Arabidopsis thaliana: one gene and its partner. The protein of the gene in region 1 interacts with the protein of each later gene in a pairwise test. Each region holds a gene or a part of one and is shown in the gene's direction. Other genes may lie near its edges. The genes, in order: GSTU22 and AT3G17410.

Region 1 (3,676 bases):
CCAGCAGTATCATCTTCTTCTCTATTAGTATCTACTGCATCATCAACCTCATCGCAGTCTTCATCTCCTTGGACTGCACAGTCATCGTCTTCATCAAGAGCAGGAACTTCAGCCTCTAAATCCTCCTCTTCTTCATCTCTGATTCTCCTTCGTTTACTTCGTCTAAGTGGAGCACGAACTTCGACTGCATCTGTCACATCAACGCCTGATTCTTGAGCTTCATCGTGAGCTTCCTCTTCTCCGCCACAAGACGTTTCACCTAAAGCTTCCTCTTCCTCTTGTCCAATTTCACGACGAGTTGATTCTTCAACTGCAACATCAGCTTCCTCTTCCAATCTATTTTGCCTTCGTTTACTTCGCCTAAGTGGAGAACAAACTGCGGTTGCATCTGCCACATCAACGGACTGACCTCGAGCTTCTTCTCCAATTTGATTTGCTTCTCCTTCCGGCATTGGTTCAACTGCATCGTGAGCTTCTTCTTCCAATCTGATTTGCCTTCGTTTACTTCGCCTAAGTGGAGAACGAACTTCGGCCACATTTGCCACATCAACATTTGATACTACATTCGCTTGACCTCGAGCTTTTTCTCCAATTCGATCTGCTTCTCTTTCCGGCGTTGGTTTAGCTGCATCTTGTGCTCCGTCTTCTCCGCCACAAGACTCAGATACCACATTCGTTTCACCCCCAACTTCTTCTCCAATTTCATCTCTTTCTCCTCGCGGTGGTGCTTCAACTCCATCTCCCACCAAATTCTCTGATTCGTGAAGCATTGGAGATCCAATCCTCATAACGACGCCATTCTTTCTAACTAATGGCATTTCAGAAAACGAATTGAAGCAATTAGGGTTTCGATTTTGATTTTGGGGGCAGGATTAGGTTTCGATTTGGGTTTAGGGTAATTGATTTTGTTTTGAGAATTTCTATTCTCGATTTTGATTTCTCTTTAGCACGAAAACGAGGTCGTAAGACTATAATAACAGATGCTTAACGGATTAAAACGGCTGTCAATTACGCTGTTAGAAGGAGTTTTAACGGTGGTTAATTAGACCGAGTCAACGCAAACTTGAAAGTTTAAAACAGAAGTCAACTTTTTGTTGAGAGTTAAAACGGCCATTTCTCGAGTTCACGGTTACTTTGGCCATTTTTTGTAAATTGAAGTATTAAATAACATTTTTTCTAATTAAACTTAATAAACTACTTAAGAAAAATGGGAAAATAATAATTGGAACCGACTTTAATTTCACAATGACTCTTTTGCCCTTCCATCGTTGACGACATTGTTTCTCCTTCTCTCTTCCACCCATTTAAAAACGCAAACTTGGAAAATGGAGAACTGTTTAACTACGCCAACGGGCTGTTTTAATGACAAATGTTAGACTGGGCTCAGTAACGGATGTTGTTTCTTGTCACTAAAGAATACGATTCATAGATTTAAAAGTAATCCATTTACTTTGCTTTTACTTTTTCATGTGAAGAGAAACAAAAAAAAGTTTTGTTGGTGATCAAGTTTGTAGTGTACTAGTAAAATAGTACCATAGTATGTGTGTGTGTGATGTGGAAACAAAAGAATATATAGAAAATTTTATGTTTTGGGTTTCATGTATTTTCTTTTAACATAAAAACAAGAACAGATAAGCATAATGACGTAAGCAGTGGCCTAAGCATCTCTTAAAACTCCATTTAAAAAAACATATCGAATTGAATAACATTGAGTTGACTTGTTTAACATTCACACCTTGCTTGCTACGGTATCTTAGCTTCCAAGATTCAATTAATTTTTCATTTTTTATGTTCACAGTCAATAGTAATAAGACATCAGCATCGCATACAAATTTCTTATATAACTCGACTAGTTTACTCTATAAAGAATCAGCGATTGGAGTATAGAAAAGGTTTAAGCAAAATCCATCAAAGAAGAGTTCCTTTTCACAATAATGGCGGATGAAGTGATACTTTTGGATTTTTGGCCGAGTCCATTCGGAGTAAGAGCGAGAATCGCGCTGAGAGAGAAAGGAGTTGAGTTTGAGTACAGAGAAGAGAATCTGAGAGACAAGAGCCCTTTGCTTCTCCAGATGAATCCGGTTCACAAGAAGATTCCGGTTCTCATCCACAATGGTAAACCGGTTTGTGAATCCATGAACGTTGTTCAGTACATCGACGAGGTTTGGTCCGACAAAAACCCAATCCTTCCTTCTGATCCTTACCAGAGAGCTCAAGCCAGATTTTGGGTTGATTTCGTGGACACCAAGGTACCCAATCCAAAATCTCTGTTTAGGTTTTTTTTTTTTTTTTTGTAGACTGATAATTGAAAATATTTTTGGGCTTGATCTGTGAAATGGTGCAGCTGTTTGAGCCAGCGGATAAGATTTGGCAAACGAAAGGAGAGGAACAAGAGACAGCCAAGAAAGAGTATATAGAAGCACTCAAGATTCTTGAAACTGAGCTTGGAGACAAACCTTACTTTGGTGGAGATACCTTCGGGTTCGTAGACATTGCCATGACTGGATATTACAGCTGGTTCGAAGCATCAGAGAAACTAGCTAACTTCAGCATCGAACCAGAGTGTCCCACACTGATGGCTTCGGCTAAGAGGTGTTTGCAGAGAGAAAGCGTGGTTCAGTCCCTTCATGATTCTGAGAAAATCCTTGCGTTTGCCTATAAGATTAGGAAGATATACTGTGTCTAAAAGTCTTATTGATTCTTTGAACGAAAAAAAAAGTCTTAGAATTTCATCTCACGTTACGTTTCTATGTTCACTGATTTCTATATGATTTTGTTGTACCTTTCTTTCTATTTTCACCAAATAATATTTGTTTCTTGTCACTCAAGAATATTTGTTCACAAGCTAAATGTTTTTAATCGCTAACGACTAATGCTAGATCCAAAATTTAGTTAATTTCATATCCAATCAATTAAAAAATTTAAAAAACAAACATAAGAAAAAGAAATTTTTTAAAGAAATCCAAAAAAGAAACAAAATCAAAATTTTAAAAACTATTTTTAAAAATCGGAATAAAAAACTTGAATCCGAGTCCTTGGGCTCTTGAACTGAATTCAACTACAGTGGAATGGATGGTACCTACATAATAATAGGAAAAACAAGTTGAATGTTTGGAATCGCTAACGACTAATGCTGGATCCAAAATCCGGTTAGATTTCATACCATTATGTAAATTTAGTATTCAAAAAAAAAACATAAGAAAAAGCTTTTAAAAATCCGAAAAGGAAAATAATCAAAGTTTTAAAAACTATTTTTGAAAATCCTAATTAAAAACTTGAATGCTAAATCTACATAATAGTAGAAAAAACAAGTTGAATATTTGGAATCGCTAACGACTAATGCTGGATCCAAAATCCGGTTAGATTTCATACCATTATGTAAATTTAGTAACCAAAAAAATAAAAATAAAAATCAAAAATATATATTTTAAAAGCTATTAAAAATTTAAGAAGGGATAGAAATTGACCTGTTTCTTAATGGGTAGGTGAATGGGCTTTTTGTTGGGCTGAATATGAGAATCCAATCCAATCTCCTCCACCACCGTGTCTGTCACCGAATGCTTCCGTTGATCCATATCTCCTGAACAAGAGCATTGAAGATCCGACGCCCTTTGATGTCAAACAAAACCTCCGACGACGAAGGAGAGTGAGAGAAGATATCGACAGACGAAGGGAG
Region 2 (5,971 bases), on another chromosome or scaffold:
TCAATTAAAAATTGGAATCTAGATTCAATAACCAGATCTATAAATCAACACTTCTCTCAAACAAAAATCGACACTTGGTTCAAATTCTACAGAAATGCAGGAATCTTGAGAAAGTATGAATCGAAGAAAAGTGAACATACCTTAAAAGGAGATTAGTAATGAAGGTTGAGCTAAAGAAATGTGGTGGTAGTAGTAGTACGAAGGTGAAGGAGGAGCGTATAAGCTTTATATATACGAGCTCGTCGAGGGGGTTGGTGTAAGATCGTAATTTCGTCCAGATTCATTCCCAGTTTCATCTAACTGTGTTCAGACAATGAGATCTAGATATCTGACGGTTCAGATTAGATCTAGAAATGTAAGAAGGTTTTAAACCGTTGGATTTGCTTCACTGGACCACCGCGTGCGAGTACAACTTGACAGCATCTAATGAAGAAGATTGCGAATCACGACGATTATAATAATAGTTATCGGTACTCAAATTAATGCTGCAAATTAGATATTTTTGAGCATGTAAAGTGAATTTAAAGAGTTAATGATAATTAATGTCGTAAATCATGAAGAAGTTGTGTGATTAGAGAAGGGTTTGTGTGATTGTGTCGGTGAACATAATTAGAGATTATACACACACAGGCTGTCTCTTTACTCTTTTATAGAAGGGTCCACTTGCCACCGGTAAAATGACAACATAGAATTCTTCTTTTGTTTGCTTTTTAGTAGTGTCGGCTAGCTTAGGTTGTCAAATATGACTGACTATTGTTGGGTGGTCTAAATCTGATCTTGTCTGATCCGAAAAAGGTAAAACTGCACAGTTACGCCAATATGCGAAGTTCATGTCCGGTCTGAAAAGGCTAGATTTAGTTATTGGGCTCAAAATGGGCCAAGGCCTTGCAAATAACGAAATACACCAAGCGATAAAATTTGAAGCCCATGACTATGAGGCAGTTGTTATTTGTTAAGTTAGAGAAGAAATTGGAACAAAATACACTAAAACCTTCTATAAATTAATAGGTCAAGGGACTGGCACCTCCTAGAGGATTCCGATCCGCTCTTATCCAAAGATCGGAGCTTTACAAAGAAGCACCGTGCTCAAGCCAAAGCAGCAACGAAGGAGAAATTACCTGCAAAAATGATGACATTGTCCGATCTTCCAAGTGATTTGGCAGAGGAGGTTCTGTCTAAGATTCCGGTGACATCTCTGAGAGGGGTCAGAGCTACTTGCAAAAAGTGGAACACTTTATCCAAAGATCGGAGCTTTACAAGGAAACACCTTGCTCAAGCCAAAGCAGCGGCAGCAAGGGAGTTTATGGTGGTCATGGTGATGGATTTTCAGGTTTATTTGATGGGCATCAATCTCCATAAGGACGTTGACGCAACTATAAACGGTCAAGGTAAACTTATTAGCTTAGACGATTCCAATCAAGTCGATATATCTTACGTCTATCACTGCGACAGTTTAGTCTTATGCATCCCAAAAGACTGCGCTAGGCTTGTTGTTTGGAATCCGTATTGGGGCCAAACCTTATGGTTCAAGCCCACTAGTCTTCGCCATTTTCCGCACTGGTATATGTATGCTATTGGATACCAGATGCGAAGAGGAAACCGAGACGCGAAAACTTCAAGGTGGTTGTTGACTTGTAGACCGACGACCAAAACTATCACAAAGAACACGATCGATCACCTTTGAAAGTCAAAAGATAGATACTCGCTTCACATCTATATTTTACAACTTTATTATATTCCACACAAATCATATACTATACATACATTAGTCTCCTTTTATTAAATACCAGCCGTCTATTTTGGTTTTTCTTATTACATGCTTAAAAATACCAAATGCACAAAGAAGGATACTTTTACCCACTACAAAATATGGACTTATCTGAAAATTTTTATCGAACACATTTTTCTTATTGAAATAGTTACCTATGTATTAGTACATATATTTTGTTACGGGAAATTCAAAAAATTTTATATACAACCAATCAAATGGCTAATTAATAAGTGGATTAAGACCTTTGACCTCAAAACACGACCAAGTAAAATAACTTCAAGTTGATTGATAAAGGCGTACTATAAAGAGTAGACAAATTGCTAACATGCGCCTAAGCGCACCCTATATATCATTTACTGTAAATTTCCGCCGGGAAGAAAAGTCTGCGTTTCTTCACCAACCCTACACGAACCAAGATAGATAGAAACCTTCTCCTTCTTCTGCTTCTTTTATCATCGGAGAATTCGAATCTTCTTTTCCTCTTTTTGAGATTCTCTAATTATCCTTTTGGAAGAGGTAATTCGCTATCTTCTTCTTCTTCTTCTTACCAACTCGCTTAAATTTCTCTTTTTTGGGTCTTTCCCCGTATTTATCTGTAAAATTTGTTTCTAGGGTTCGATTTCATGCCGATTAGATTGTGTTAACGGATTTTTCGGAGTTTATTGATAGTTATTTCAGTTTGAAATCCATTTTAGGGGTTACGATCGTTGACTTGTGATAAGTCTAGGTCACCAAATGTATCATTTCTTAGTGTCTCGATTTTTATCGAATTATGCTCTCGTAATGAAACTTCATCATCATGTAGATGAAGGATTTTACTCTTCTGATACAAAAATTTGTTTTTTGTGAAAAAAAATCTGTTTCCTTTTTTGTTCTGCTTAAACCCTATAATTAGAAACTTTCGTCGAGCATTTCTCTATAAGTTTGTACAGTTTGCTCTATTTCATTTGGGGAAGAAATTAGTTACTTCTAAATTTTCGTATGTTATAAAGTCTTGTTCTGCAACACCATTACTGACGTTTTTGCGTTATGAATATACTGATACAGTTTCGTGTGAGAGAGAAGCGTAATGGGCTGCTTTGGTTGTTGTGGTGGTGGTGAGGATTTCCGTAGAGTTTCTGAAACTGGACCAAAGCCAGTGCATAACACTGGAGGTAGCTTAGTTTACCCCATATCAGTATTTCTCTTTTGGTGGCTAAGTTAATGAACTTTATTAATTGTTCTTAAGGTTACAATGGAGGTCACCATCAAAGGGCAGATCCACCCAAAAACCTTCCAGTCATTCAGATGCAGCCTATCTCTGTTGCGGCCATTCCAGCTGATGAATTGAGGGATATAACGGATAACTATGGTTCAAAGTCCTTGATTGGTGAGGGTTCATATGGAAGAGTCTTTTATGGTATTCTTAAAAGTGGTAAAGCAGCTGCCATTAAGAAACTGGATTCTAGTAAGCAACCAGATCAAGAATTTCTCGCCCAGGTAGATGCTATAGAGTATATTATTGCAGTCTTGTTGGGCCTAGACCTTATACTTCCTATGCTCTGATAGTTCTGCACGAAGTCACTCTGTTGTGGTTGTTTTGTCGTATTTGGCTTTGTTACTGACATGACCAACTTTAACAGGTATCAATGGTTTCGAGATTGCGACAAGAAAATGTTGTTGCGCTTCTGGGCTATTGTGTTGATGGCCCACTCCGTGTTCTTGCTTATGAATATGCTCCTAATGGATCTCTTCATGATATTCTTCATGGTAAGTTACTAATGTAAAACATCGAAGGAAGATCAATACCATTTTTCCAAGATCTTCAGAGGAGAAACTAATGAACTGTGGTGAATTCACTGGTGCAGGTCGAAAAGGTGTTAAAGGGGCACAGCCAGGTCCTGTTCTGTCGTGGCACCAGAGAGTCAAAATTGCTGTTGGTGCGGCTAGAGGACTCGAGTACTTGCATGAGAAGGCAAACCCTCATGTTATCCACAGAGACATCAAATCCAGCAATGTACTTCTGTTCGATGATGATGTTGCCAAGATTGCTGATTTTGATTTGTCCAACCAAGCCCCTGACATGGCTGCTCGCCTTCACTCAACCCGTGTGCTCGGAACCTTTGGCTATCACGCTCCAGAGTAAGCTCCTTTAGAGATATCATTTATCTGGAACAGTGATATTTTGATTTGTTTACACTCAAGTCGTGCTGAGAATCTTTTGTTATCATTATCTAATGTTCTGATGCACTAAGTCCTTCACTTGGACTAAGCTTTGATAATCATATTTTCATACATTTACACTTCTGTATGTCTTGCATTTCTTCCCATTGACCAAACTAGATTCTTAAACATATTTGGTTCTGCAATTTAGGTATGCAATGACGGGGACGTTGAGCACAAAGAGTGATGTCTATAGTTTTGGCGTTGTTCTGCTGGAGCTCCTCACAGGTCGTAAACCAGTTGATCATACCTTACCACGTGGACAGCAGAGTGTCGTGACATGGGTAATACATCGGTCTCTGCTTCTTCTTCTGGTTGACTCATATTTATAAGAAAATCTTAGAAAATACATGATTTATTCAGTCAATTAGGAGAATGACCAAAAAAATCCTCTAGCAACTTCGCAACACCTCTTTGCATCTATAGAAATCATTGATTTGGTGTAGTCAATTCTTTTCTAGAAAGAAATTTCTTAAACTAGAATTTATTAAATAAGAAAAACCAAGTGCCAATTGTTTTTTTAAGAAAGAAATTTTCCTGGATAAAGGTGGGTTTCTGTACGTGAAGCCTTTCTGAAGCAAACTCTGCTTACTTGTGAGATATTAGAGACTCTGAACTTTCCCTATAGACAAAAACCAGTAGTCAATGATAACGCTTTTGTTTGTCTCAGGCAACCCCTAAATTGAGTGAAGACAAGGTGAAGCAGTGTGTTGACGCAAGACTAAACGGAGAATATCCTCCCAAAGCTGTTGCTAAGGTAATTTCCCCCAAAACTTTGTCATACTTCTCACTGTTGCAGTAGAAAAGGTTTACCTTAGGATTTGACTACTTCTCCATCCGTTGCACCCCGCAATCAACTACAACAGCTAAAACTTGTCTGCCTGGTTGAAAAAACAAAAATGAATTTGATTTGATTCCCTCTTGATGTGTTGTTCCCTATGATATGCCTAGATTTGCAACCCAAAACCTCGAGTCTGATTTTGGTTTTCTCTTATGACTCATTGTGATCAGCTGGCTGCGGTAGCTGCACTGTGTGTGCAATATGAGGCAGACTTCAGGCCTAACATGAGCATAGTGGTGAAGGCTCTTCAGCCGTTGCTCAATCCTCCTCGTTCTGCTCCCCAGACTCCACACAGGAACCCGTATTGATATGCTCTAGTCTGATATCACCCTTTATGATCATCACTATTTCATTTGTTTTTGTTTGAATCCGATTTGTGTAAATTTGTGAAATAGGCGTTTATTCTCTCATAAACCCCCTGCCACTTCACTGAAAATCTTACTTGGAAAGACCTGAATGTTACTGTATTTCTATATTATTTCATGCATGTGAATGTGATGCAAGTCTCTACTAATGCTACGATATGCGAGGTAAAGATATACCAATACTCTGTTTGTGCGTCTGTCTGTACAAGCTCAACTCTTTTCGATCTTGAATGCATCTTAATCACTAAAGGAATTATTGGGAAAAAATCTTTAAGGATCCAAATAAAATTTATCTTGTAAAATATGTCTGTAACTGACTCTGTATGAAGGTAATAAAATGTGCAACAAATCTCTCCTTCTCCAGACAAAAGAAACAAGTCTTGTTCTTCTCTGTATCTATATATATCACATAATTAACTTATAGACACAGTAAAGAATCTAAACAATCTCCAAAGAATCTAAAAGTTTTCCTTGTTTTTAACCCTTAAGTCATAAAGGAGGGTCCATGTTTCTGTTTCTTGCTCAAATCTTTGCATCTGTTGTTATATCATTATCTTTATTCGTGTCTGTGCTTTCTCTATGCGTCTCTGCGTTCTGATTTCTCCTTCTTCTTCGTTCCTGATCAAAACATTCATCAAACCAATTATGAACATTCTAGTTTCCACAGAAGAAAATCAGTTTATTTCTGCATTGTTTGTCATTATGACTACCTCTCTAGGCATCACAGGGTATTCATCAGATTCAAGCATTCGAGCCACTTGACTCATCTTTGGCCTCTTGTCTGCATCAGGA

The links.
Region 2: the proteins of GSTU22 (region 1) and AT3G17410 interact in a two-hybrid assay, tested with the Arabidopsis thaliana proteins (one large-scale study listed by BioGRID).

What each region holds. Positions count from the first base shown.
Region 1 is NC_003070.9:29,472,056-29,475,731, reverse strand, and holds GSTU22 (glutathione S-transferase TAU 22), read left to right. Parts: upstream 1-1,728; 5' UTR 1,729-1,934; coding exon 1,935-2,249; intron 2,250-2,344; coding exon 2,345-2,686; 3' UTR 2,687-2,887; downstream 2,888-3,676. UniProt on the Arabidopsis thaliana protein: May be involved in the conjugation of reduced glutathione to a wide number of exogenous and endogenous hydrophobic electrophiles and have a detoxification role against certain herbicides.
Region 2 is NC_003074.8:5,953,761-5,959,731, forward strand, and holds AT3G17410 (Protein kinase superfamily protein), read left to right. Parts: upstream 1-2,101; 5' UTR 2,102-2,287; intron 2,288-2,383; exon of another isoform or gene 2,384-2,818; 5' UTR 2,819-2,840; coding exon 2,841-2,925; intron 2,926-2,999; coding exon 3,000-3,250; intron 3,251-3,393; coding exon 3,394-3,520; intron 3,521-3,618; coding exon 3,619-3,892; intron 3,893-4,124; coding exon 4,125-4,257; intron 4,258-4,643; coding exon 4,644-4,730; intron 4,731-4,984; coding exon 4,985-5,122; 3' UTR 5,123-5,454; downstream 5,455-5,971. Other genes in the region: AT3G17400 (F-box family protein), read left to right, coding at 1,127-1,684; GPK1 (glyoxysomal protein kinase 1), read right to left, coding at 5,702-5,797, 5,890-5,971.